Macaca fascicularis: one gene and its partners. The protein of the gene in region 1 interacts with the protein of each later gene in a pairwise test. Links are inferred from orthologs where the notes say so. Each region holds a gene or a part of one and is shown on either strand. Other genes may lie near its edges. The genes, in order: CSNK2B, ARAF and RNF7.

Evidence for each region.
Region 2: the proteins of CSNK2B (region 1) and ARAF interact in a two-hybrid assay, tested with the Homo sapiens proteins (2 studies listed by BioGRID and IntAct). The link is inferred for Macaca fascicularis from reciprocal best matches to the Homo sapiens genes CSNK2B and ARAF.
Region 3: the proteins of CSNK2B (region 1) and RNF7 interact in a two-hybrid assay, tested with the Homo sapiens proteins (2 studies listed by BioGRID). The link is inferred for Macaca fascicularis from reciprocal best matches to the Homo sapiens genes CSNK2B and RNF7.

What each region holds. Positions count from the first base shown.
Region 1 is NC_088378.1:140,051,633-140,061,355, forward strand, and holds CSNK2B (casein kinase II subunit beta), read right to left. Parts: upstream 5,289-9,723; 5' UTR 5,186-5,288; intron 4,603-5,185; 5' UTR 4,592-4,602; coding exon 4,520-4,591; intron 3,572-4,519; coding exon 3,469-3,571; intron 2,906-3,468; coding exon 2,790-2,905; intron 2,348-2,789; coding exon 2,272-2,347; intron 2,126-2,271; coding exon 1,936-2,125; intron 1,609-1,935; coding exon 1,518-1,608; coding exon of another isoform or gene 1,442-1,517; 3' UTR 1,387-1,441; downstream 1-1,386. Other genes in the region: LY6G5B (lymphocyte antigen 6 complex locus protein G5b), read right to left, coding at 178-306, 453-510; GPANK1 (G patch domain and ankyrin repeat-containing protein 1), read left to right, coding at 6,965-7,590, 8,996-9,440. UniProt on the Homo sapiens protein: Regulatory subunit of casein kinase II/CK2.
Region 2 is NC_088395.1:47,653,577-47,663,315, forward strand, and holds the start of ARAF (serine/threonine-protein kinase A-Raf), read left to right. Parts: upstream 1-4,974; 5' UTR 4,975-5,032; intron 5,033-6,670; 5' UTR 6,671-6,729; coding exon 6,730-6,825; intron 6,826-6,988; coding exon 6,989-7,092; intron 7,093-8,877; coding exon 8,878-8,980; intron 8,981-9,065; coding exon 9,066-9,220; intron 9,221-9,332; coding exon 9,333-9,431; intron 9,432-9,739. UniProt on the Homo sapiens protein: Involved in the transduction of mitogenic signals from the cell membrane to the nucleus. May also regulate the TOR signaling cascade. Phosphorylates PFKFB2.
Region 3 is NC_088376.1:44,564,678-44,574,535, reverse strand, and holds the start of RNF7 (RING-box protein 2), read right to left. Parts: upstream 6,072-9,858; 5' UTR 6,049-6,071; coding exon 5,874-6,048; intron 1,188-5,873; coding exon 1,140-1,187; intron 1-1,139. UniProt on the Homo sapiens protein: Catalytic component of multiple cullin-5-RING E3 ubiquitin-protein ligase complexes (ECS complexes), which mediate the ubiquitination and subsequent proteasomal degradation of target proteins.

The DNA of each region.
Region 1 (9,723 bases):
AGCTTAAGTGATCCACCTGCCTCAGCCTCCCGAAGTGCTAGGGTTACAGGCATGAGCCATTGCACTCAGCCCCTCCTTTCTTGTACCCCATGCCCGGAGCAGCCCTGATCTGTGAGAGGAAAGAAGATCAAGCCATTGGCTGCCCCACCAGCAGCCCCTTCCTGGGACCTTATTTACCATAATAGATGGTGATCACCATGCATGGGGATGAGCTGCTGATGGTACACTTCTCTGAGCCTGAAATGCATCCTACAGAAGGGTCTTCTAAGAGGCAGAAGTGGCAGGTCCGGATGTCGGGAACAGGAACTGGGAAGGCAGAAGGAGGGATGGGGCACTGGGTCACTCTCAGATACCCTGGGCCAGTAGGAAGCCCGAGTATCCATGGCCACGTTCCACCCCCTTCCTGAACTCAATTACCCCTTCCTCCCTCCCTGCCCCTGGGCCCCACTTACCCTTTCCCACTGTGAAGCCCACCATGACCAGCACACCTACAAGTATATGGGCCTTCATTATGGAATTCTGGGGAGACGGGCAGTTCCTGAGGGATGCCCTGAAACCCCACCTTCCTGTGACCACACTCCTTAATCCTGAGTTGCAGGGTGGTTTTGACAAGGTCTGAGGAGCTGCTGTAAATGCAGAGCTATATTCCTGCTTGGGGCAGGATCCTGGTTGGGAAGGAAGTTATTAACTTGGCAGGAGGGACAGCATGTCCTCACCCACAACGTCTGGTTCCTGAGTGTGGGAGCAATGGCCCAGACGGGGTAATATCTGGGCACTATCTGGTTCTTTATCCAGTGTCTACCTTTGTCCTGCATACCCTCCAAAGACCTACTCCCTCCCTTGGAAAGTCCATGGCTTAGTGTCTATCTCTGCCACCATGTGCTGTCTTCCTCATATAACAGGGCCAGTCCCCACTGTGCTGGGACAACCTGGCCTGGAAATCAAGCATCCCCATCCTTCTGAGATGGGCAGTCCCAGCTCCAACAGCAGGCAGCACACACACACATCACTGAGCAGTAATTCTGGACCTTGTCCCACCTCATTCCACCCTTAGTTATACTGACTTTAGGGCTACTTTTCCTTTAAAACTGAAAGATGGAGTTGCTGATTAAGCACCTTACAGTATAGACAGACAGTTATAGGTATCCAAATACTTCTCATCTTTAAAACATGCTTTTTCTGTCTTTTCCTTTTGACCTTGCACTTCATCACACACAGTCCTAGGAATTCTGTTCTGCTCTATACTAAAAACATCACCCAATTCACTGAGCACAAATCTGTCCTGGTTTTCAATCTGGGGAGGGTGGGCTGGGCCATGAGGGCCCCTGGAGTCCAACACACCATCACCTTCCCTTCCCCAACCGCAAGCACCAGCAGACTAGCTCATGGCCTTTTCTTCCACTTTATTTCATATTCCCACCACAATAATGACTCCTTTAATTTAAACTAAAAACCATACAGGGTTCCTGAAAGGGTGGCAAAAAGGAAAGGAAGTGCAGGACAGGTGGGGTAGGGAATCAGCGAATCGTCTTGACTGGGCTCTTGAAGTTGCTGGCGGCTTGGAGCTGCAGCTGGTAGGCCATCGGATGAATCTTGAAACCGTAGAGCCTGGACCAGGGCAGAGGTCAGAGAGGCAGTAGCATGAGCCCCATCCAGACCCTGCTAGTCACCTGCATTCCCACCTCCCCACCTGAACTCCTCCATGGACCTGCTCAGAGCTTAAGCCTAGTGGTTCCCAACTTCTCAGCTCAAGAACATTCTATGATAAGGTAACTGAAGCACAGACAATCAAATAACTTTCCCACAGTCACTCCGCAGGGAGATGCCGATTCTGGGAGAAGCAGGCCTCAAGAAAGGGCCATGCCCCATCCTCCCCTCTCTCTGGGGGATCTTAGGCCTTTCCTTTGACCCTTAATGACTCTCCCTGCTCCCTACCTGGGCACAAACTGGTTGGCGGGTCTCTTGGGCCGGTACTCGGGATGCACCATGAAGAGCATGTGAGGGAAACCAGTGCCAAAGTAGGCGCCATCCGTGTGATGGTGTCTCGATGACTTGGGTGTGTACACATCCATGCACTTGGGGCAGTAGAGCTTCACCATGGCTTCACCTGGGATGTCTGAAAGGCCTGGGAGACAGCCAGACTCAGCAGGCCAGGTATCTCCCTGTTCCTACTTAACCTCCCCTCAGGACTCAGGCCCCAAGATGCTGAGCCCTAACTCCTTCCCGTAAGACTGCCACAAGGTGCCTTCCTTTCCCTTCTTCAACACTCACCGATGGGAAGCATTGGCTGGTTCTCACAGTACACACGAGGACAGTAACCAAAGTCTCCCTGCTGGTACTTTTCCAACTGAAGTGAATAAAATGGAAGGGGTTGGCAGGTAGGTGTGAAGAGAAGAGGCAACTCCCTTCTCAGCTCAACCCATATCACTCTGTCCCCCACTCCTCCCACCTCTGTCCAGAGGCCCCTTCTCTGGCCCAGATGGGCTCTCAAACTCCTATGTTGCCTTTCTTCCAGTTAGGCAGGCTACAAACCATCAGAGCCATTTGTTGTTTGTTCCCTGAGGAAGAGGCAGTCTATCACAACTCTCTGTTCAAGGACTGTCTCCCTCCCTGAAAATTATCCCTTCAGGATGACCCCCAATCAGAATTCAATTCCCAGGCCCAAGCCTGGGGTTCTTCTCCTCTTCTCAGCCAGTTTCCTTAAACAAGGCTTAAACATGACTTCTTGCTGCAGGAACCTGTGTCCCTTACTGCTCAGAAGGAGGCAATTAGGAGCAGAGAGGCCTCACCATCTGGGCAATGCCACGGTTGGTAAGGATGTAGCGGGCGTGGATCAATCCATAAAGCATCTCGGCAGCCTGCTCAATCAGGTCACTCTGGTTGGGGTTGTCTTCCAGTTCTTCATCTGAAACACAGCCCGGCCAAATGCAACCACTTGTTTTTCAGCTTTCCTAGGTGCCCTGCCCATATCCAGGGGGTGCGGGCTATTCAGTTCGCCTGGCACCTACTTTTGGGCCTTACCCCATCCAACATCTGGGCATGTGACCCAGAAACCTGGGCTTCTGACCCTTGCGCCAACCCAAGACAGCTCTGTCTTCTCTTCACACCTCTTTAGCCTCCGCTCCCCACTCTCCCTCCCAGCTCCCTCCCCGATACATAACTGCAACAATGTCAATGCAAAAGATGAAACTCTAGACTGGAAGGTGCAAAGCAGGAGAAATAGCAAACCAGACCCATGAGGAAACATATTTTGGAAAACATCTGAATTGTGGATTTAGAAAACATGGGAACAAGTGATATACGTCACAAAACTAGACACAGTCAGGTGGAGGATCAAAATAAAGCATGAATTTGGGGTTAAAGAAATCAGAGAACCAAAGGAAATTTCAAAATTCAAGTAAGTGAATATAGATTTGAAGAGAAAAAAAGTGCATGCACACACACAAAACAACCCTGAGGGTGCCTCACCAGGCTCCAGGTCCAAGATCATGTCTAGAGCTTGTCGATAGTGAGGAACCTGCTCATTGAGTCCAGTAAGATTAAATTTGTCCTGGATGTAGTCTTCATCCACCTGTTGGGACATGGAAGCCAAGAGGGAACCCATATCAAAATCCCCATCTTTGACCTGGGCAAAATGCTCTAACTGATGCCTTATCATCAACACAACTGCATCTGTTCCGCTTGTTTCTCACTCCCAACTCAGCAGAAGTACTTGCGTCTCTCCCTAGTTCACCTATACTCCCTCCCATAAAGCTTTGGCTTTTCTTTTCTAAGGATAAGCAGGTACAGCAATCTTTTTCTTAGACATTCTTTTCAAGATCTCTGTCCCTACTCCTGTACTCCATCTCTAGGAACCAGTTTTGTCCTCTCAGCTGGCTGAGGAGGATGGAAGCTGAACGGCATGGTTTCTGAACAAAACATTTCAATACGTAGCATTTCAATTTTCCTAACAGCCAGCTGAGACAGGTACTAGCAGTACAACTTTAGTAATAAAAGATACAGGCTGGGCGCAATGGCTTATGCCTGTAATCCCAGCACTTTGGGAGGCTGAGGCGGGCAGATCACCTGAGGTCTGGAGTTTGAGACCAGCCTGGCCAACATGGTGAAACCCTGTCTCTACTAAAAATCCAAAAATTAGCCGGGCGTGGTGGCGGGTACTTGTAATCCCAGCTACTTGGGTGGCTGGAGCAGGAGAATCGCTTGAACCTGGGGGGCAGAGGTCGCAGTGAGCCGAGATCGCACCACTACACTCCAGCCTGGGCGACACAGTGAGACCCAGTCTCAAAAAAAAGATAAAGAAAAAGACACAAATTGCCTGCTGGAGGGTGGCAGAGTCGAAACTTGGGCCCCAGTTTTGCCACTTTAGCACAGGTTCGTCGGGGGTTATTGAGGGGACTCTTCGTTGATGGGAAGTTTTCAAGTAGTATGTAAGAGAACAGTGTAGAAGTGGAATACGTGAAGGAACATCTGGTGGGAAGATATGTGAAGCCAGCAAGTAGGGAGGTCGAAGAGAACTCACTTCACAGAAGAATTCATTGCCACGGAGCCCACAGAACCAGGAAATCCAGGACACCTCCTCTGAGCTGCTCATCTTCACGTCAGCTGAAAAAAAGAGTGTCAGTAAAGCTCAAGTTCTCCTTCCCTGCCTCGGGTATCCTCCCTCCTCCCACATTAGAACCACCCTTTCTTAAAGGATCCCAAACTCTGAAGCACTCCTCTCCAACTCCTCCAATTTACATCTCAGTTCCCTTTTCTTTGACGTTAAACATTCTTTGGGGTCCCACCACTTGAAAGAAGCCAACAGATACTTTGACCCACCAGCCCGACCCACGTCCCTGGAGCTCCCGAAAGCCAGGGCCCTCTCTTCTCTGTGTCAACTCCGGCAGGGACCTCGACTCAGGCTCCGTACCAATGCAAGTCTCTGCACGACCCCGGCGCCTTTCCCAAGGATTTCCAAGTTTATCACTCTCAAGCAAGAATCGGGCGCCTCCTTTTCTCAAGGGTTGGGGGCGACTGTCAGGTCCCTTTCACCGGATTCCACACATCCCCCCTCCGCTCCTCAAGCCACCTCTCCCTCCTTGCCGGACCTGGTTGCTTCCTCCCCCCGCCCCCATATCAAAGTGCGGAGACCCATGTGCGGCTCCCAGCGACAAGCGACTAGGAGCAGCGAAGACCTCAGACTCACCAGCTGGACGGGGACCAGGACTGGGGTGGGGTAGGGAAGTTGCTACTTCGAAGGAACGGCGGCGACCGCTACAGCGCAGGCCGCGGACCCGACCGCGGCAGGCGAAGTGGGGTGGGGGGAGTGGAAATTGGGGAGGGTGGGGAAGAGGGCAACACGCAAGCGCCAAGGGTCAGGTGCCGCGGTGGATGCCGGGACGCGGAGTCCCCGGTAGAGAGAGAAACCGGCTAAGTGAGGGAAAGCGAACTACCAATCCCAGGATGACCCGCGCACGACCTGGCTGTCACGAAGCCCCGGAGGAGGACGCTTGCGGGCGGGGCGCAACGAGAAGCCACCGGAAGCGGAAACCAGGTATGGCGTTCGGGGCCTGGGAGCCTGGGCAATACAGTTGTGTGCTCACTGGGCGAAGAAGCTGACTTAGGGCGGGGAAAGGAGGGAGCCAGGCTGGACCCCTCCTCGCAGCTCTCCTCACAGTTGCCCTCTAGTCCCGACGCGGTGCTGCTTCCCTGGGGACTGGCCTATCCTTGGCCAATGCGCTGGGTCCTTATTGCCTGTTGGGCCCCTAGTGCGAGTCAGTCCCGCCAGAGACCCTTGACGGGCCTTCTGTTTTACTCCGGGCTCCGGCCTCATGAGGCGAGAGGTGCGGCTTGGCTCCGTGCGTAGGGACTTGGGTTGGGAGGGCTGGGCTGGGCTGGGCTGGGCTGGGCTGGGCTGGGCTGGGCTGGGCTGGGTGAGAACCAGAACGGCCCAGTGCGCTAACCTGAGGTGGTGCCAGCCATTCTGCTCGTCCCCTTGCACTTCTCCATTTCCCCTTAGTCTCTAAGTGTGACCTTCGAACCCTGGTCAGAGTAATGGTGAGGGGCAGGCGTGACGTTATTTCATTACACGGCTTCTCGGCATTCCACAGGTTTCCCTCCGCCTCCTGAGGGCCTTTCCTAACCCAGAGAGTGGATTCCTAGCTCCAGAAAATGGGCTTGGAGCGGGGGCCACGTAGAGGAAGGCGAAGGGCATTGTGGGGGCGTTATGTAAAAGTAGGACCCCAACCGACAGATCCTAGCGCTCGCGCCACCTGGGCGCGCGGAGCTTTGCTCGTTTACTATTGGAAAAGTTCCAGCGCGGGAAACTGAACCGGGAGCTTTGCGCACGCCTGAGCCATCAAGTAATGTGGGTGGTGGTTTTTGTTGTTGTTGTCGCCACGCATGCGTCTCCGTGCCGTGTGGCTATTTGATTGTGTCAACTCTGCTGATCAGAATAGCGCCATTTTGCGTTACGGAAGCTACACGGCAACACGTATAGGAGCCTCTCCCCGAGATCTTCTAGGGAGTGACCCGTCTATTTTTGTTTGGGAAGAGGAAACTCCGAAATGGGATCACGGAAGACTTAAAGGGCCAGGTTTGATTTTTTTTTTTCCTACTGGTATGTCTGTTTTACGGGGTGAGAAAGTGATTTCAGAAAGAGGCTGGTATTTATTGTTGGTAAGGATGGGGGTGGGGGCCGGACGCAGGACCTCTGGACGACTGTCTCATGGAGTTTGATTAATCTTTACTAAGGAGCAAAGTCGGTATTGTAGGGTTTCGTGTTTTTACGCATATACTCTCTCCCTTAGACCCTGCAGAGTCTTAAGTTGTGGGGTCACTTTAGCGGCAGGAAAGTGTTTTTGACTACTTTTTCTCATCCCAGCAGGTCCCTGAGGCTCTGGTTGCTACAGAGTCACCAGGAGCTTGGCTTGCTTGTCGCATCCTTCCCTTGCCTGGTATCATTTTCTCAGTTCTCCCAAAAGCCATGTCCCAGCCCTTCCTCATCACCTTCACCCCAGCCACTGACCCCAGCGACCTCTGGAAGGATGGGCAGCAGCAGCCACAGCCCGAGGAGCCAGAGTCCACCCTGGATGGAGCTGCAGCCCGAGCTTTCTATGAGGCCCTTATTGGGGATGAGAGCTGCGTTCCTGACTCCCAAAGATCTCAGACTGAACCTGCCAGAGAAAGAAAGAGAAAGAAAAGAAGAATCATGGGGGCAGCTGCAGCAGAAGCAGTGGCAGAAGGAGTATCAGGAAGATATGGACAAGGGAGATCCCTTGAGGCTGAGGATAAGATGACTCACCGGATACTGAGGGCAGCCCAGGAGGGGGACCTGGCAGAACTTAGGAGACTGCTGGAGCCCCATGAGGCAGGAGGAGCTGGGGGGAATATCAATGCTCGGGATGCCTTCTGGTGGACCCCACTGATGTGCGCTGCTCGAGCGGGCCAGGGGGCAGCTGTGAGCTATCTCCTGGGCCGTGGGGCTGCCTGGGTGGGGGTCTGTGAGCTGGGTGGCAGGGATGCGGCTCAGCTCGCTGAAGAAGCTGGCTTTCCTGAGGTGGCCCGCATGGTCAGGGAAAGCCATGGAGAGACAAGGAGCCCAGAGAACCGGTGAGGGGAAACTTTAGCTCAGACCCCTGTCTCATTGTGTTCTGCCTCTCCCAGCCACTCCACACCAGAGGCCCCAGCACAGTGCTGAGTTCTTTCCTTATCCTCATGTGTAGGTTGACAAGGTAGTATAGTCAAGTGGTTATGAATATGAGCTACCTGGATTTAAAGCCTGATTTCACTTACTTGGGCAAACAACCTAATGTCTACATGTTCCAGTTTTCTCATCTTAGAAATGGGGTAGTAAGGATTGTTGTTAGGATTCAATGGGTTAATATATGTAAAATGCTAGAATAGTGCATGCTGCATAGTATGCAATATATGAATGTTAGCTGTAGTCATTATCACTAGTATCCCTCCCCTTGCCCAAGAGTTTGCTAGGCCTGGTTACAATTTTTTCTTTTCAACTCTTCTGCTCTGGGTCCCACAATGGTTTAAATAAATTTGTTTTTAAGACCAGTAGTGAGAAGGAGGGGAAAAGTAGAGTAAGGAGTTTGATCTGTAACTGAGTGAACAGTCATTTCAGATAACACCACCACCTTTGGACCAGCCTGGATTCCCTCATTATTAAGTAGGAAGGAAGTCAATTTGTCCTTTTTTTTTTTCCCCAGACAAGGTTTTACTCTGTCACCAGGCTGGTGCGCAGTGGCGTGATTTCAGCTCACCGCAACTTCCACTTCCCGGGCTCAAGCATATTTTTTGTAGAAAGCAGGTTTTGCTGGCATGGTGGCATGTGCCTGTAATCCCGGCTACTTGGGAGGCTGAGGCAGGATAATTGCTAAGGTGGAGGTTGGAGTGAGCCAAGATCATGTCACTGCACTCCAGCCTTGGCAGCAGATTCAAGACTCCATCTCAAAAAAAAAAAAAAAAAGTAGGCTGGGCACGGTGGCTCAAGCCTGTAATCCCAGCACTTTGGGAGGCCGAGACGGGCGGATCACGAGGTCAGGAGATCGAGACCATCCTGGCTAACACAGTGAAACCCCGTCTCTCCTAAAAAAAATACAAAAAACTAGCCGGGCGAGGTGGCGGGCGCCTGTAGTCCCAGCTACTCGGGAGGCTGAGGCAGGAGAATGGCGTGAACCCGGGAGGCGGAGCTTGCACTGAGCTGAGATCCGGCCACGGCACGCCAGCCTGGGCGACAGAGCGAGACTCCATCTCAAAAAAAAAAAAAGTAGGCTTTGCCATTTTGCTCAGGCTGGTCTCAAACTCTTGAGCTCAAAGCGATCTGCCCACCTCTGCCTCCCAAAGTGTTGGGATTACAGGTGTGAGCCACTATGCCTAGCCGGCAATTTGTTCCTTAGCAGAAAAGCTGAAAGGATCCTCTCCTACCCTGCCAGCCCTCTCTCAGGCCTCAACTCTTCCCCTTTTCCTTCCCCTGCCGTTAATGCTTTTTCTTCTTTTTCTGCAGGTCTCCTACTCCCTCCCTCCAGTACTGCGAGACCTGTGACACCCACTTCCAAGATTCCAACCACCGCACATCCACTGCTCACCTGCTGTCACTGTCCCAGGGTCCTCAGCCTTCCAGCCTTCCACTTGGGGTGCCCATCTCCAGCCCGGGCTTCAAACTCCTACTGAGGGGGGGCTGGGAGCCAGGAATGGGACTGGGACCCCGGGGTGAGGGCCGTGCCAACCCCATCCCCACTGTCCTCAAGAGGGACCAGGAGGGACTAGGCTACAGATCAGCACCCCAGCCCCGAGTAACACATTTTCCAGCTTGGGATACCCGAGCTGTGGCTGGGAGGGAGAGAGCCCCTCAGGTGGCCATGCTGAGCCGGAAGAAGGAGAGAAGGAGGGAGGAGAAAGACAGGGCTTGGGAGCGGGATCTAAGGACTTACATGAACCTTGAGTTCTGACTTTGGTAAAATCTGACCCCGGTCTGCTGCTGAAGTCTGAACTTGGGCCTCTGACCTGGGCCCTTTGACTTCCCCTTCCTGGGATCTGCCCAGGTGCAGATCCTCAGTTTTTGGTCAGTGGACTCTGTCTTTGTAAGAGACGGGCTGAGAGTGATAAATAAATCAACCTTTTGTGGTTTATTCACTTTTCTGGAAGCTATTTTGAGGAAGCCAAACAAGCCTGGGAGCCACATGCAAGTCCCACCTGAGCCAGAAGGGGCAGCCTCTCCAGGTGGCAATGATA
Region 2 (9,739 bases), on another chromosome or scaffold:
CCAGGCGTGGTGGCTCACGCCTGTAATCCTAGCACTTTGTGAGGCCGAGGCAGGCGTATTGCTTGAGCTCAGGAGTTCAAGACCAGCCTGGGCAACACGGTGAAACCCCGTCTCTACTAAAATACAAAATATTAACCGGACGTGGCGGCGGGCGCCTGTAGTCCCAGCTACTCAGGAGGCTGGCGCAGGAGAATCGCTTGAACCGGGGAGGTGGAAGTTGCAATGAGCAGAGATCTCGCCACCGCACTCCAGCCTGGGCAACGGAGCGAGACTCCGTCTCCAAAAAAAGAACTCTGTCGGTTAAATGGTGTGTTTTTCATAGGGATAGCACATTGAAATTACTACTCAATGAATTTTGCTAAGAAAGACTTTTTAATAAGAACAGTTAAAAAGTCATGGTTAAATTCACTTAGTTGTAAATTTCCTACACCTCTCCCCTCCAGGGTTGTATATTAAAAATCCCTTCCAGGAATGTACAGAAGTGGAAACTTCCACATTCTACTTTTATTAAGGATTTCGATAGAACAATTACTGTTGCCTCATCACTAATTTAAAAGCAACATTAAGTTCCTGGTTTGTAGCCGGTCTCAGGCCCACACACCTCCCATTGGCCACCCCCTGTTCATAGCTATTGGTCTGTCAGTGGCTCCGTGGTGAAGTAGAGCCTATCAATGCCTGGGGTATCCCAAGGCCCGCCTTCCACTGCACTGCCATTGGCAGATCTCGCTGCCTGTTGGGGGACCTGGAGCGAATCGAGGCTCCCTGGGTTGGCAGAGAGGAGCTGGTGGTTGAGCGCCCTGAGTCAAACCTGTGTTCCCGGCCTCAGAGAAATGTGCACGCATGGTCATCTCCCCGGAAATGAACAGCTGAGAGGGCGGCGGTGGGATGGGGTCCCAGAGATGGCGCTCTCCAGGCCGCAGCAGGGGCCGGCGAGGTCGGCGGCTTTGGGAAATGAGAGTGGCACGTTTTAGAGGAGGTCTCCAGGCAGGCAGGACTGCTGGGTGGATCTGGGATTCCTTAAGGAGGTGCCCATGGCCGCACCCTTGTTAAACACTTTTTATCTAACGAAGCACTCTCTCCTTTTCCCCTACGGTGAGGGCAGCCTGAACCTTAATGTCTTCAGCTATAAAAGTAGCACTACAACGGCAGTCGGCGAACACTTGAGATTTAAAAAAATTTTCAGGCATGTTTCTGAGACTTTAAAATGAACAACAATAAAAATCAACAAGTACTTTGATAGCTTTACATTTTTTTCCAGATGGATAATTACAAGGGGGATGTCAGAGAACTATAATCAGCTAGTTTGGGTTTTAATTTTTGTTTTAATACATGGTACTTCTAATGGTTTAAATATGGTGGTGATGATAATGATAAAAAATCAAGAAGGTCAGGCGCTGTGACATGCGTCTGTGGTCCCAGCTTTCTGGGAGGATCGCTTGAGCCCAGGAGGTCGAGGCTGCAGTGAGCTGTGATTGCACCACTGCACTCCAGCCTGGGTGACAGAGCGAGACCCTGTCGCAAAACCAAACCAAACCTAAATCACTTTAAAGGCCTTCATGCTTTAAAGTGTCAGGTACCTGTAAGGTACTTGGCTGAAGTGCCAGTTGAGATGGGTGTGAAGTGAGTCTATGAGTTCTTGGGGGAGAAAGCATTGCCTTTGAGTGGGCTGTGTCCCCTACCCTTCCCCTCCTTCCCCCTATCCTGCGAAAGCAACGAGCTTTTGCTGGCATTTTTCTCATCTTTTTATAAACGTTGAACGATGGAGCCAGAAGTCTGTCTTCAAATAATGCCTAGGAATTAAAGTTTTTAAACAATTTAAGTGAATTGAAATATAAAATGCACTCCCCTATTCCCCTCCCCAAAGCCCCTCACTGAGCTCCAAACAGGAGTTGTTCCTGACCCCACTGGCACTGAGGTGGTTGCCAGGACTCCTGCAGTGGGAGATGGAGATTCAGGGCTTAGGGATTTAATTTCAGAAAAAAAGAATTTTTTCAAAATAATTTCCCCAACCAGTAAGAATTTGTACAAACACAAACGTTTAGAATTATGTTTGAGGCCTTCTTTTTTTTTTCTTTTGCCACACAGTTCTTACTCTGGTATATTACACATAAAGCAAAATATATCCATTTTCAGTATAGAGTTCAATGAGGCCAGGCAAGGTGGCTCATGCCTGTAATCCCAGCACTTTGGGAGGCCGAGGTGGGAGGATCACTTGAGCCCAGGAATTCAAGACCAGCCTGGGCAACATAGTGAGACTCCATCTCTACAGAAAATATTAAAAATTAGCTGAGTGTGGTGGTGTGTGCCTGTAATCCCAGCTACTTGGGAGGCCGAGGTGGGAGAATTACTTAAGCCCAGGAAGTCAAGGCTGCAGTGAGCCATGATTGTGCCACTTCACTCCAGTCTGGGTGACAAAGCCAGACTCTGTCTCAAAAATAAAAAAAGATAATAATAAAAATAGAGTTCAATGAGTTCTGACAAATGCATACAGAACATTCCAATCACCTGCAAAAGTTCTTTAATGTACTTCCCAGTCATTCTCCCTCAAAACAACATCTAATGTGATTTCCTTCACTATAGATTAGTTTTGCCTGGTTTAGATTTCATACAGGTGGAATACAGTATTTCTCCTTTGTGTCTGGCTTTTTTCATTTGGCCCCATGTCTATGAGATTCATCTATGCTCTTCCTATATGTCAGTAATTTGTTCCCTTTCATTGCTGAGTAGTATTCCATAACCCCGTTGTTGTATTTCTTTGTCAGTTCTGTTTCTGGACACCTGGGCTGTTTCCAGTTTTTTGATATTATGAAAAAGCTAATCTGAACATTTGCATACAAGTTTTTGTGCAGATATACTGCAATAGTAGCATGTTGTAGCTGGCTCACCAGAGCAGATTTTGTGCATCTCTTTTAAATCTGGTTCAGCGACTGTCACATCAGTAGCCTGAAATAAGCCACGGGGACAGTACAAATTAGAGCCATTTTCTTCCTGGAGAGTTGGTTGTTAAACATTTACCAGCACACCATTGGACACGTGTTTTCATTTCTCTAGAGTAAATACCTAGGAGTGAGATTGCTGAATTGCATGGCAGGTCTATGTTTAATTTTATATGAAACTGCCAAACTGTTTCTAAAGTGCTTGTGCCACTTTACACTCCCAATAGCAATGTATGAAAGTTCCAATTGCTCTACATTCTCATCAATACGTAGTATTGTCAGTCTTTTTAATTTTAGCCATTGGAGTTGGGCATGGTGGCTCACGCTTATAATCCTAGAGTGTTGGGAGAACGAGACCAGGAGCTTGACACCAGCCTGGGCAACATAGTGAGATTCTGTCTCTCTAAAAATTTTATTTAGCCATTAAATGGTGAAGATTCAAATAGAAAAGTGGAGTTGGGGCCAGGTGTGGTGGCTCAAGCCTGTAATCCCAGCACTTTGGGAGGCCGAGGTGGGCAGATCACTTAAGGTCAGGAGTTTGAGACCAGCCTGGCCAACATAGTGAAATCCTGTCTCTACTAAAACTATAAAAATTAGCCGGGCATGGTGGTGGGCGCCTGTGGTCCCAGCTACTCAAGAAGCTGAGTTACCCAACTGATTTTTTTTTTTTTTTTTTTTTTGCATTTTTACTAGAGACGGGGTTTCGCCATGTTGGCCAGGCTGGTCTTGAATTCCTGGCCTCAAGTGATCCGCCTGCCTTGGCCCCCCAAAGTTCTGGGATTACAGGCATCAGTCACCACACCCGGCAAGAATGGAAAGTTTTATTACTGAATAAGCACTGCACCAGACTGTGATGCACATCACAAACAATCGGCTAAAGAGGTTTCAAAGACAAAAGAAATCTCATCCGTTTATGTAACAGGCAGATACAGCCCATTACAAACATATTCTCAAACAGTAACTTGTGCTCAAGTAAGAAACTTGACAGCACCATTTGGTACACATACTTCATCCCAAATTCACCTAGTAATTGGTGCGGCTATCTGTGTTAGTTAATTGCCTTTATCCAAAGGAAAACGAAAACTCGTATCTTTATGACAAGCAGGTAATAACTTGAAGCCAGGCACGCAGATCAAATTCCCATGAAGACGGGAAGACAGGGGTGCTATTTTCATTGATGTTTACATTTCATCAAAGAGATGGCTACGAGGCTCTTAAGAAAAACATTCCGGGGTTGTAAAACTGGCAAGAGATCTAGCATTTTAAAAGACTTACATCTCAAAGGGACAGAGAAAATTTTACAGTTACAAGTTTTCTAAAGGAAATGCTCTAAGAGAGACGTCTCTCTCGACACCAGGGAAAATTCGATTTTTAAAAATTTGTGTTTACCCCACAGTACTTCCACACATTGACTGGCATCGTGCTCCATTCACCGCACTTCCCTCTTCACCTGGCCACCTGTGACTAGTTTTTCAAAATCCTAATCAACCCCATTCCTAAAGGAAGCCTCCCAGACAGAAGGCCGCCCCTCCTAGGGCCAGCCCCCCAACCCCCACCACACCAGAGACCCGCTGTCCTCAAAGGCTATGAACTACAGTCTCCTAGAGCCGGTGAACATCGCCGATCATTTGTTCTGATTCCAACCCATTTCAAAGATGGTAAAACTGAGACACAGGAAAATAATAAAAGGGTGCTTAGGGCACTGGCCCAAAAAGGGTACTTAAGGATTTCTCCGTCCAGATGCCAGAGCCCTAAGGTCAGCCCCAAATGACCTTAAAAAGTCCTGCTTTATTCGTCTATGCCACTATTGAGGTTAAAGCCCCAGGCACGCAGGTCTTGCCCCAACTGCGCCTGCGCGAGTCAGGACTTGCGCTTGCCCCCGATCTTGACGTTTCAGGCTGCCCCTCCTAATCCGGAACACGACTCACATTCCGTTGGTCTTGCCTTGACAGACGTGACCTTGATCCAATAAGAGTGGAAGGATGAGTCCCGCAGAGCCAATAACGAGAGTCCGAGAGACGGCGAAGGCGGACTCTGTGAGGAAACAAGAAGACAGGCCCAAGATGGAGGCGGCGGTGGCTGTAGCGGCGTGACAGGTGAGGGCGGACCCGGGAGGGCTCGGTTTCTGGAGCGGCTGCCGGGCACGGGCAGGGCGCCCGGACCGAAAGCTCAGCTCCAGGATGGCTGCGCCCGGGCCCCGGCGTCCCCCGCCCGGAACCGGAGGAGTGGTTTGACCCGGGGCGAGACCATCGTCGACAGCGGGGGTGGGGTGGGTAACAGGAATAGGCGGGCAAGGCTGCGGGTGATGGTTTCGCCCGCTGCTAGTGGTGGTGCGCCTGCGCAGAGCCGGAAGCCCTTTGGTAGGCGGGACCCTACCGACTGGTGCCGGGATTCCGTCTTAAACCCCCTAAGGTGTCCAATGACCTTTCCTTACCAACTGCGGGGAGTGTGTGGAAACGGGGTTCACTCCCCGGTTTCCTTATTCTGGATCAGTGTCTGACCCCCTGGGGGGGGGAGAATGTCAGGATTCTCGCCTCTGTAACCGCCTTCCATGATCCCCCATTCAGTTTACACCAGTAATGTGCCTGTGACCCCCTCACTGGTTGTCAAGGAGAATTTTGGAGCTCCCTCTTTACCTCCATTTTTCTCCCCGCAACACCATACCTTCCTTCTCCTTTTGCTATGACAGTGTCTGGTGATCCACCATTACCTCCCCAGTTTGGCTCGATGTCTGGTCATTTCCATTTCCACCCTTCTCCCCATTACAGTCCCTAGTGACACCTGTTACATCTCCCTTCCGCATAGTATGTAGTGACCCCCACCCATGAACTCCTCATCATAAAGTCTTGGGACTTCCATTAGCCACCTAACACGGTGTCTGTGGTCCTAACATCAACATTACACCCCAGGGCTTAGGGATGTCCACAGTGCCCTTTAAGGATATGTTTGGTGCAACCTCCATCTTCCCCACACTAAGGGCAATATCTCATGATCCTCTCTTTCCCATCACCCTGCCTGCGACTCCTCCCTCACCAGAGTATCTGGCACTTCCCCCGTTCTCTGTTAAAAAGGCAGGACACTTTGGGAGGCTGAGGCGGTGGATCACCTGAGGTCAGGAGTTTGAGACCAGCCTGGCCAACATGGTGAAACCCCATCTCAACTAAAAATACAAAAAATTAGCCAGGCGTGGTGGCACACGCCTGTAGTTCCAGCTACTAAGGAGGCTGAGGCGGGAGAATGGTTTGAACCTGGGAGGTGGAGGTTGCAGTGAGCTGAGACTGTGCCATTGCACTCCAACCTGGGCAACAAGAGCGAAACTCTGTCAAAGAAAAAAAAAAAAAAAACAACCAGGACATTCTGTTTGTGCTTCTTATGTACCTGACAGCTCAGTGCAGTGTGTATTGACTTCCCCATTAGTCCCCAGCACAGAGTCTTCTGTGCTCCTGTACCCTCCAGGACAGTATGCTCTGTCCCCCTTCCTTTTTCTCTCCCCGCCAACCCTGTGCAGTGAAGCTGAGACCTTGGCACTCATGAGTGAGAAAAGCAACAGGAGGGTCTGAGCAGAGGAGGAACTAGAAGGACTTCAGATGTGAGCAGGATCTCTTGGGCTGTCATGTGAAAATTAGGCTGCAGGGGGCGACAGGAGCCTGGACTTTGAATTTTATTTTGTCCCCTGCCACTTTGCTTCCAGACTCTCATTATTGGACCTCTGAATTCTGTCTGCCTTCTTGTAGGAGCCCCATGGCACCTGCCCAGCCCCACCTCAGCCCATCTTGACAAAATCTAAGGCTCCATGGAGCCACCACGGGGCCCCCCTGCCAATGGGGCCGAGCCGTCCCGGGCAGTGGGCACCGTCAAAGTGTACCTGCCCAACAAGCAACGCACGGTGGTGAGTCATGGAAGCGAAATGGCAGGGGCTGTGGATGGACCCAGTTGTAACTCTGGGATCAAAAGGGTGACAACGGTTGGGGGAGGCCTTTGCAAAAGGATGGGAACATCAACTGTGGCCTCTGTTGGGCAATGAGGACCCCTACATCTGCACATATACACAGGTGACTGTCCGGGATGGCATGAGTGTCTACGACTCTCTAGACAAGGCCCTGAAGGTGCGGGGTCTAAATCAGGACTGCTGTGTGGTCTACCGACTCATCAAGGGGTGAGTGTGGCAGCCCCACGCCCACCCACTGGGTGCCCCACCTCCCATCCCCTCCTCAGTCATTTGATTCCTTCTGTTCTTTATCACAGAGTCTTCCATTAGTCTTCCCTTAGTCTTTAGTCCCCCCTTATCTGCAGGGTACGTGTTCCAAGACCCCCAGTGGATGCTTGAAACCACAGATAGCACCGAACCCAATTGCTATCAGCCGGAACATGTTTCTATTCTTGTCTTCTACCCATAAATGTAATGCCTTTTCCGTCTTAACTAAGCATGTATCATGCACTCCGGCCATCGCTTTTGCAATATGAGGTATGACGTCAAAACTAGCATGAATTTATTTTTCCTTCTTCACAGTTCCAAAGATGGAAGATTCGGCCGGGCATGGTGGCTCACGCCTGTAATCCCAGCACTTTGGGAGGCCGAGACGGGTGGATCACAAGGTCAGGAGATCGAGACCATCCAGGCCGACACGGTGAAACCCCGTCTCTACTAAAAATACAAAAAAAAAAAAATTAGCCGGGCGTAGTGGCGGGCGCCTGTAGTCCCAGCTACTCGGGAGGCTGAGGCAGAAGAATGGTGAGAACTCAGGAGGCGGAGCTTGCAGTGAGCCGAGATCGCGCCACTGCACTCCAGCCTGGGCGACTGAGCGAGACTCTGTCTCAAAAAAAAAAAAAAAAGATGGAAGATTCTTTCTTACAGTAGATCTCAACAACCTCAGCATATGATTTTCTTTGCTTTCAAGTCAAGAACTTTTACCTTTTTGCCTAAAGGAAGCACTTTACAGCTTCTCTTTGGCATGTCCGAATTGCCACCAACACTACTGTGCTTTGGGGCCATTATTAAGTAAAATGGCGATCACTTGAAGACAGCCACTATGATATTGAGTCAGTTGTTTGATAACTGAGCAGGCTACTGAGTGATGGGTGGTAGCATAAACAGTGTGAATCTTCTAGATAAAGGGATGATTCACATCCTGGGTGGGATGGTGCAGGATTTCATCATGCTACTCAGAATGCACGCAATTTAAAACTTATGAATTGTTTATTTTTGCAATTTTCAATTTAATACTTTCCCACCCGGTTGACCACAGGTAACTGAAACCGTGGAGAGTGAAACCACAGATAAGGGAGGACTACTGTAGTTCAAGTAATCTATGAGTTCATCCATCTTTTGTTTTGTTACTTCATTGGTTCATTGGCCTGTAAGGTCAACCAACTCATTCTCCCCTGGACCCCAAGTCCTCACCCTGGTCCATCACTTCCTCCCAGATTTCATCTATTTTGTCCTTTCACGATGTCATGACTTCATCAGCTCTCTTCTTCCTCATTTTCCCCATTCTTTGTCTGCTGAGTTGGGTCTTGCTGACCTTATTTATTCCTCTCTCGTGGGGTTCCTTAATTTTTTATGCAGTTCACACAGTGCACTTTATTTGTTGTTTCAGTGCCTCCTCAGCCCCCTTTTCGGGGGCTGGCTTAGCGCTTCTAAGATGTAGTTGTTTAGTTTCATTTGCTTCTCCCCTTCCGTTTCAGAGCATGGACTCTTCACACCGTCCTGCCTCTCATTACTCTTGTGGCCCAGGGCCAGTCATTTTATCCCTCTGAGCCTGTTTCCCATCTGTAAAGTGGGGGCAAGGATAATGACTAATTCCTAGAGTTGCTATGATGAGAATTAAACTTGCCAGACATGACCCTGTGGGTAGCAGGCTTGGAGGGACTTGTGGCGGTTCCCTGCCTCACCATGGCCCCTGCCCACCCTCCCACTCATTCCTTTCCATGCCCCCTGCAGACGAAAGACAGTCACTGCCTGGGACACAGCCATTGCTCCCCTGGATGGCGAGGAGCTCATTGTCGAGGTCCTTGAAGATGTCCCGCTGACCATGCACAATTTTGTGAGTGCAGGGTGGATGGTGGGGGCGGATCATGGTGGGGAGTATCCTTGGCCAGGTCTCAAACTTCCCTGCTCTGCGGCATCAGGTACGGAAGACCTTCTTCAGCCTGGCATTCTGTGACTTCTGCCTTAAGTTTCTGTTCCATGGCTTCCGTTGCCAAACCTGTGGCTACAAGTTCCACCAGCATTGTTCCTCCAAGGTCCCCACAGTCTGTGTTGACATGAGTACCAACCGCCAACAGTGAGCCCAGCCTGGGGTGGGTGGGGGGATGGGGAGCACAGAGACCCAGCCACAAGGCCCTTACAGACAGCTGACCTGTGTCCCCTTACTTTATACCCTTCATGCCCTCAAGGTTCTACCACAGTGTCCAGGATTTGTCCGGAGGCTCCAGACAACATGAGGCTCCCTCGAACCGCCCCCTGAATGAGTTGCTAACCCCCCAGGGTCCCAGGTAGGGGTGCCTTAGCTGAAGGGCTACTGGGGGAGAAAAAGATCTGGGGACTCTTGTAGACCACAAGCCATACTTTATTCATTTGTTTACTTGACAAACATTTATTGAGCACCTACAAGTGTGAGTAAGGGCATGAAACTGGGACCTTGGGCAAGTCACCTGATTTCTCTGGGCCTCAGTTTTCTCATCTGTAAAGAGGGGATAATGATACTTTCTACCATATAAGGTTCTGCTGAGGATTAAATGAGTTAAGACATGTTCAGTGCCTAGAACAGGATCTGGTATAGTGTAAATAATCAGTTCTTTTT
Region 3 (9,858 bases), on another chromosome or scaffold:
GCAGTAGGCTATTATAAATAACATGCTTCTAAATATTCAGTTGTGCATCTACTGAGCTGAGCTGTTTTCTAGAAGTAATGAATTGTTAGGTCATCCACAAGCAGTGCAATTCCTCATGTGACGATGAAATTTTCAAAGGGGCTGGCTGGAGAGAGAGGTCTCTCTGTGATCCAAGAAAGTGGCCTGCCCCTCACAATTCCCAAATTAATACTTTTTAAACAAGCAGCATGGAAGAAAAACTTTAAAACAAGGGAAATCATCCATAATCTAGAATGCAATCTCAAATTTGGTATTCATCTGTCCCTTGCTTGATCAACTGAGCTATATGACAAAAGAAAAAGATTAAATGAAAGAAATAAGGCAGAAAAAAAGAAAAAAAATTCCTATGAAAATTTGCTACAGGGGGTAGGAAGCAAGGGTGAAACATTCTAAGTGTTTCAGGAGGAAGAACTGGATCAAAACTGCAAGAATCAATATTAAGTTCTATGTACATCATGTATTTGTGTTCTATGTACACCATGCAAACACAAAATACAAAGCCGATCTTTTATTCTAAGAAAATCTGTAAACATGTTTATATAGCAATCCAGACTTGATCACCTCAAGAACTAGGGCATAAAAATCTTTGAACTGCCTAAAATATTTAGCCTACGACAACTTTTATAGTCTAAGACTCTAAAGAAAATTTGATACACAAACCACATTCCAAAAACATACTTGAGACTTAGAATTTTTCTACTCTGGTTTTAAAGTTAAATACCGTATTATAAAAGTATTGAAAAGTGAAATGCCTTATTAGAACCAAAAGTGACCTATAACATAGCCAAAATTCAAATAATGTTTTGACATTCTGATTTTCTAATTTTCTAAATAGAAAATATTTAATTTTTGATTACCAAAATGTTTATTATGACCATGTCTGGAATATATAACCAATTCTTAATTATGGCAATAAAAGGATTTGCAGGTTCACTCCATTAAACTCTTCTGAGAACCAACATATTTTATATTAATAATGGATCACTGCTTTACAGTTTATTTTTGTGTATTGATAAAGTCAATCTTAATTTCAAATTCAAACATCCCTACTGAGAGAAAACCTTCAGTTGAAAAAGCAAGAGAGCGAAATTACAACATACCAACACAGTCCTCTTGTTTGTTTTCAGCTTGACATCTAAGACAGGCATCTAAAAGTAAACAAACAGCAATTCTCATTCTGATGCTCAGAATGTAATTTTTAAAAACCAGACACTTCAAAGTCAAAAGCTCTAAGGGTTAGAGATGGCAGTAAAGACTCATACTATTAATTTCTCATCTGAATATAACGATTTAAAGAGGAATAAAGTACAAGGCATTCTACTAATTTACTTATAACCAGGAGCAATTTCACAACAGTTAACAACAAATCCTCTATTTTTATAAGCTCTGATGAAAAGATGTCCTGACAGTGCCAATAGAGAAAATTACTAGAGAAAAATATGCCACACTCCACTATATTCGAAGTTACTATATGCTTACTGGGCATGCTCACAGGCAGTTTATTTTCAAGACACCCTTTAAATAAACCATATATATATGTTAGCATTTGTTTATACATACATCAAAAAACACTAGGATACCCAAGGAACCAATAATAAAGTTTACTGAGAGGGTGTGGAATGGGAAGGAGAGTTTTCACTCCTCTTCCAGGTAATATACATACCTTCCTCAATTTCTGAACTATGTGAATATATAACTTATATAAAAACTAAATTGAAAAAATTTGATTCTTTCATAAATAAGTTTTTTAAAGTCATCCATACTTACTGATACATAAGTTTTCCTTCAGCAACTCATAAAAAGCAACTTTTTACTTTCTACCCTAAGACACTTGAGACTTCCTCTAAAATGAACTGCTTTGTATGCTTCTAATAGGTTGCTACTGATGGTCATCCAGACAAGGCTGGTGAGAAGCCAGTGAGACACAGAGGGGAAAGCAAGGGCTGCGGAGCCAGATCTACAGTCAAATCCCATTTCACTGGCATTTATTAGGTTCATGGCCTTGGACCAATTACGAACTCCAATTCCCTCATCTGTAAAAAAGGGACAATACCGTGAGGTATTTATACATTAAGTGGGAATGATATATACTGGTGAGAATTTTATAGATAAAATAAGTAAATACTAGATATCCCTAAGCACTAAGGTTTTTTTCTTTGTAAGAAAATGCTTGGGAGCTAAATGATGAGAACACATGGACACACAGCAGGGAACAACACACACTGGGGCCTTTCGGAGGGTGGAGGGTGGAGAGGATCAGGAAAAATAACTAATGGGTACTAGGCTTAATACCTGGGTGATGAAATAATCTGTACGACAAACCCCTGTGACACAAGTTTACCTATGTAACAAACCTACACTTATACCCCTGTATCTAAAATAAAAGTTTAAAAAAAAAATACTTCCTTTACAGGTAAGTCTGAGCCCAAAGCATTTACCCAGCAATGGTAAAGTACTTTAATAAATTACTTTATTAGTGGTTTCTTGGGTATCCTTCTAGAATTTCTTGATGTACATATAAACAAATACTAACATTATATGTATGGGTTATTTAAAAGGGTGTCTTGAAAATGAACTGTCCATGAGCATGCCCAGTGAGCTTACAGTAACTTCTAATATAGTGGAGTAGGTGTAAACACTAAAAATGAGATCCTAAAGGCTGTACTAGAAGTTTTCAAAATTCAATCTGGAATACTATCAGCTTAATGAAAAAAGTAATATAGAATATTTTAGGGACCAAAAATGGACTCATTCACTAGCTGGAAGAGGAGTCAGTGTTGGGTAAAAGGAAGTTCAAACCAACAGAAAATAGTTTTTAACATAAATAGGAGAAAAATAATTCTGTAAAAATAGAAACATGGTGGAGTTGAAGCCTGCTTCTCTTCTTATACTGGGTTTTGCTCAGGCATTTGTTTGCTCCTCTCCACATGCTCTTACCCTTAAAAACACACCACCGCCCTAGTCTCTTCAGTGTGGATTAAAAACAACCACTGCCTCCTGAGGTTTTCTTCAATCCCACAATTACTCCTCTGTGCAAGGTGTTATGCACTGGAGACACCAAAATGACCAAGGCTGGGTCTCAAGGGGCTCACCAGCAAATGGGGACGTAGACAGACAACTAAATATCATGAGGGTTGTGATACAACAGTGAAGACGTGCTACCTGTATCTGGCTCTAGTTCTGTGCAATCACAGAATTTTAACATTAAGGTTGGTGATCCCAACTGCCTCTTTACAAATTAGGAAAATAAGGCTCCCAAAAGTTACGTGAAATATCTAAGGTGATACAGTCATGAAGGGTTACCCTGGCTATTATAACTGGCTCTACTAGCAAACCTATTCAACGCTTTTCATCAGCACTTTGCTCACTATGCAATCATCACTCTTTTCTGAATGAAGGGAGGATAGTGGAAACGAAGATGAGAGTGTTACCCATATCAGAATGGGCTGACAGGCAAATCTTGGGAGCAGAAAGTATAATAAATCACAAGTGTGAGATAAATTCCAAATACTAAGGAAAGGGAACAAAGTGGGTTCTTGTTGCTGAATCTAGGAATCTCTAAATTACGCTTATAGCTCTAATGTAGATTATCAAAACTGACCCAAATCTACACAAATTCCTAAAGTTGCAGATAAAAGATAAAAATTTGCTTTAATGATCTTCCTAGAATCTAAAACAGCACATTTCTAAGGAGTACAATAACACCTTTTAGAAGGGTGCTAGGGTAAAGACTAGGAAGTCTGGAAAAAAAAATTTCCTTCTGCTGTCACCTGACCTCTAAGTGGGTTTTAACACCTCATAAACAAAATACAAAGGTCTAGCCTAGAATACTTTCCTGAACCCAAAGTACAGCTGTTTGCAAATATGCAAGACTGATCCTGTAGTAGCAGAATACTTGCTATAATTAGAAAGTTTATGATGAAATGTGTCATTTATAGCCTATACTTTGACCTACATTAAAATATCTCAGTAAAGTTTATTTGTTGCAAAGTTTCAATCATTATTTCAGGTTATACATTTCCACTTACTGCTTAAATGTTTTTCCTTCGGGGAGGAAATAGCTTTTTGGGAGAGAAATCTTTTGAAAATACCCTTTGGGAACATTATTTTTAAACTGAAAAGGAACTAAGTGAAAGTTTAGTTTCCTTTAAACTAAAGGAAATTTATTTAGGAGATAAAATGTTTAGCAAAACTTGTATTGCAAAAAAAAAAAAAAAAAGTCTCTTGGATCAGTTAAAAAATGCTTCCCAAACTGGAAACTATGATTCCTAAGTGAGGGTAGGGGCAGCTGTACTGCTGGCAAATAAACTAGATACTTTTAAAGCCTAATATGTTTTGTTTGTTTGTTTTTGAGACAGGGTCTCATTCTGTCACCCAAGCTAGAGTATCGTGGCAGTGGCAGGAAAAAGGCTCACTGTAGCCTCGACCTCCTGGGCTCAAGGGATCCTCCCACCTCAGCCTCCTGAGTAGCTGGAGGCCACCATGCCTGGTCACTTTATTTTAATTTTTAATTGTAGAGATAGGGTCTTGCGATGTTGCCTAGGCAGGTCTCAAACTCTTGGGCTCAAGTGATCCATATAAAATAAGTGGGTCATGTCTAATAACAAGGTCTTTCAAAAGTAAAAGGTAAAAATATCTGAATCCAATTGTTGTAAATCCTCTTTGAAACAAGCCCTTAGAATAAAAGACAAAAGAGCATAAATTGAGAAATCTCTTGATTCTGGTAGGTTTAAAGTCTCATCCCCCCTCAAGGACAGCAATTCTCTTTATGTTCTCCAATTCTCTCATTTTTCAAGACAAGTCAGTTTTCAACCTACAGAAATGTCTGTTTTCTTTAACTACCCTCAATAAAGAACTCCACTGAAGATGCTCTCACAGTAATTTTAAATGCCCTATCTGAAAATACAACTTGCATTTAAACAGCACTTGCTTTTCAAAGTGGTCTGAGATCTTAGAACCATATAAAATATAACAAGATTAAGCTGTTCTGAAACATTTTGCTTGGTCTAATATTTTAACTCCAAATATCACAGAAAGAGGACATATTTGTAAGAGGGTTCTCCACAAAGGCATGACTCAGAGCAGGGCAGTATCTTCTCCAGGAAATGACATCCGATATGGAGAGGGGGGTGTAATGGAGGTGAAGTTCTACATTTCTGAAAAAAGGGCTTACAATTCTTCGGCTTCCATGAAACTTAGATATTCTTGAACCACACTGTCCCCTTCAAGCCACGCTAGTGCTATCTGACCCGTCTTAGATCAATCCAGATTTAAAAGCCATTCGAAGAGCGGCGGTAAGCTAATCCGGAAATGCAATGGCTGTGAACACTTCCCTGTGTACCTCGAGGAGAACTAAGGGTGTCGTTTTGTGGAAGATGACTCCGGAGCATCACTTTGATGGTGACCAAGACTATTAAAGTTCACTGCTGAATCACGGCCTTTACTCTGTCCACCTTGCGATGAGCTTTTAGAACAGGGGCTGGCCACACAAACCGAAGTGTTTCCTGCTAGTTCCCAACAATCACCCGGTTTTATTTTCCTGGTCACACCCATCACTACCTGAAATTACCTTGTTTACCTCCGTTTATTGCCCATTTCTCTCCCTAGAACACCAACCACCCGGCGCCGGGCGCCTGTTGCACAACCCCTCAGCCCTCAGGAGCCGCAACAGGATCGTGGCTCCGCGTTCCTCCGGCGCCCGGGCAGGGCGACCTCCACCCACTCCCCAAGGCAGGGGACTTTCCAAGGCTTCTGGCGGGCGCCCGTCCCGTCCCAATCCCGAAGTCGGCTCCCGGAGGCCGCAGCGCGGCCCCGGCCTTGCGTGCAGCGCTTACCCATCACCTGGACCCTGCAGATGGCGCACGTATCGCACTCAACGTCCCAGCTCCACATGGCCACCGCGTTCCACTTCTTGAGGGAGAACATCTTGTCGCCTCCCGACTTGGAGCCTGAGCTCCCGGAGTGAGACGCCAGGGCGCAGGTTTCCTCTCCGTCTTCCACGTCGGCCATGGCGGCGCCGCGGAGCCGACGGCGGAGACGTTGGCTTGGGGTAGGCGGGAGGCTAGGGCGGCTCTGCCGGGCCGCCCGACGGGCCACAGCGCCGCCCGCAGGCCGCAGGCCACCGTGGTGCCCAGACCCCGGCCACCCACGATTGGCTGGCGCGGCCCAGTGACGTCACCGGACGCCAGCGGCGAGGGGGCAGGCAGGCCCCGCCCCCGCCCTCCTGGGGCGACCGAGCGGGCTTGGGGCTGCTCGGGGCTACGCTGCCGAATCCGCCTGCGGCGCTGCGGGGTGTTACGTCTGAGCAGGCGCACAGATTGTGCTGGAATGTGTGTCCTGCTTTATGGCTTCATTAAAACTACTGCTCTCAGAAATAATCTTGTTAATTTACTTGTTTGTCTCTTCCCTCCCAAGTGTAAAACTCTATCAGAGCAGGGAACATGTTCTTATCACCACATTGTCCTCGGTATCTACAAAATGCCTGGCCACAAGAGGCACAATTATTTCTTGAGTGAATTAATGATCTTAAAGATCTAGAAATCTGGCTCAGTGATTCTCAGACTTTTTGGTCTCAGGACTCCTTTTCACTTAAAAATTATTAGTCCCTTAAAGAGCTTTTATTTATGTAGGAAATGTATAAATATATATATACACACACACATATGTATGAATATATATACATATATACAATGAATATATGTACATTCATGTATAATGAATATTCATACATTTCCTGTATATGTATACACACGTACATAGAGATTAATGTTTCTTTTTAAGAAATTAAAACATATTTTTAAATGTATTCATTAAAAATCACAGTAATAACCTCATTAGAGGTTATCATTAGAGGGATAACTTCACATACCATGTAATTTCTAGAAACTCCCGTGTACACTCGTAGAATGAGAGTGAAAAGAGAGAAATAGCTCTAAATATTGTTAGGCAACTAGTTTGCCCTCTTTTGACCCCTAAAAGAGGTCAGGATCCCAGGAGTCCCGGTGTGTGGCGACACAACCCACACGTATTTTTCAGGCCCTGCTTCCTCATCTGCAGAGTCTCCATTCCTTCTGCTCAGTACATTTGAGCTAGTTTAACTTCCTCTTTTTATATGTAGGACTAATGAGGTCCGAAGAAGTGAAATGACAAAGATCACATTGTTATTACAGTAGTGCTTCTACTGCTAGCCCACCATCACATGTGTTTCCAAGAAAGCAGGCATCTCCACTGAAAAGAAAGCAGAAGCACAGACAGCCTAAGGAGATGCCTGATCCCACCGTCACCTAGTGGTGGACACCTACTCTGTCAAGTTTGGATTCTGAGCCTCTCGCCATCCCCTCATCTCCTGATACCTGGGCAAAAGGTAACCAGGCCAATGGAACCTGGCAGGGGAAACAAGAATGCATTAATCTATAGAAACATAAATATGGACGCAGGGTCACATTCGGTTAGATGGAAATGTGTATTTGTTGAGTGGTGTGTTAAGGGCTGTGAGGGTGCAGGATGCAGTGAGGGAAAGCCTCATGGGAGAGGTGAAGTTTGAACTGGGGGAACATGGGAGGCCTTCAGGGCCTTCAGGGCCAGTGGAGAGAGCAAACCTCTCTGAGCTGTTGGGCAGAGCAGAGCACAATGGTGGTGGCAGACAGGAATTGGACCACACCAACTTTATAAGCCAGACACCCATTGGAGTGAGCACACAAAACATGTGTTCCCTTCTTACTGAACGACCACACATCTGCCTAGAGATGGCTGTAAATGCTAGGTATCTAACAAAGAGAAGGATAAAACGCACCCAGTTGGTGAGAAGTTTGAAAGACAAAAGGATGAAATGGTGAAAAGGGAGAAGGATGGCTTTGCTGGAGGAATGGTATGTGCCCTTGCTGAGCCATGAAATCTGGAGAGAGGTGTCGGCTGCGGTGAAATTTGAGAATAGAAGCCAGGCGGGAGCATAGGGGCGGGAAGTGGAAGGCGGATTGGGGAGATGAGTATGGTTTTGACACACTGCATGTCAGGAGAACTTTTTCTCCTGACAAAGAGAACAGGAATGAGTGATGCACCGGAGTTCAGTGCAACAAGCAAGCATGCATGGGGAGAAGGGAAAGCAGGAGTGAGGTGGAAAGTTCAGGCTGCAGCAGCTGTTCAGGCGTGGCGGGGCCAACGGGTCTCCTGTGATTTCCCTCCTTTGGTTCACCTTCATGAGAGCTTGTCTGCCATCATGAGCACCCAAAGGGCAGGAACTATAGGCGGCCTTGAATGCAGCAAAACAAATATCTGTCCTCCTCATGGCCTGCTCAGTTCCCACTCCACCACTGTGCGTTGTTCCTCTCACCAGTCCTTGGTGTGTGGGGACACAACCCACACTTATTTTTCAGCCCCCGCTTCCTCAGCTGCACAGTCTCCATTCCTTCTGCTCAGTACATTGAAGACGTAGTTTCTTTAATTTTGAGGACTTCTCTTAAGCAAAATATTTAAGGACTAACTGATAAATATTTAGGAAAAGTTTGTCTCAGTACAAGTGGACATTTTTGTTATTTCTTTGGTCCTCACTCCAACCATCATTTCCCCCTTCTGTGCCATTCATCTTTAACAAAATAAGTTTTCCTGTTGTCAGGGAAGTAAAACTTTCCCTCTACCCTCTTAGGTTCAGTATTTGGGGGGATTGCAAATTAAACCAACAAAACACAGATTAGCAGGAGAAAAGATAGATTTTTATTCACCAAAGTAGTCAGAGTTCACAGAAAGTTATGACTCAAGGGGCAATTAGAATTTGGGGCTTATACACTGTCTAAATAAAGGAAAGGGAGAAGGAGAAAGGGCACTTCTGGAAAATAACTTTCAGAAAAGATAAACAGGCCTTTGGGAGAATAGATAGGAGATATGATAGTTTTGTGACAAAGTCTATTAGCTGATTTATTATCCCAGTACCAACTTCTTGTTTCTAATGATAGGGTCAACCTTCCCTGGTTTTAAAATTCCTGGGAAGGAATTTAAGACAGTTGAATTCTTTTGAGAGGCATTGCTTTTAGACAGGTAAGTTCAGGGAAAAAATTAAAATAAAATAAAACAACTCTTCCTGCATCTGTCGATTCTCAAATGCCTTTCGCTCAAAATAATCCTTATGCTATAGAGGCATATTCTGGACTTCTTTCCTGCACTAGGGAAAGAAATAAAAACAAAAACAAACCTGATGACATTTGCTTGTTGAGCTGGAGTAGTTTCCCCAAAGGGACCAATGTTTGGAACTATAATGACAAAGCAAGAAAATTGTTCCTAGAGGCTAGAGATCAAAGCTAGCCTGAAATGTATATGCTACCTCCTCCTGGGAATGTCCTTCTAAGCAAGTCTGCTCTCCATCACACTTGTCAGACAAGAGTTATGGCTCATCTTTTTTCTTGGAAATAATTGTGTTCATGTCCATAGGTCCCTGAGCATTTGCTGGTCTTTTTTGGTCAGATGGAACCCTCCAGTTCATTTGCCTCTCTTGGTCTTAGATGACAGTGCTGTGGCCATAAATTATTAATCCTGCTGCCCCACTCCCCCAACACACACACACACGTGCACACACATCCCATACTGAAAGCGTACATTTGACCAAAGCAATCAGCCTTTGTTGGAGAATTCCTTAAATCCTCCCAACATTATATTTCATTCATCGTAAGACATCAATCATCAACTGTGTGACGTAAATCAATTTCAGATGTGAAAAAAGAAGTGACGTAGAATATTTCAGAATAGATGAAAAATGAAAGAGAGAAACCCATGCCTAAATTTCATGATGCCTTCTTTAGAAACCTGGTGACTTTGCTGAGAAAGTAGAGT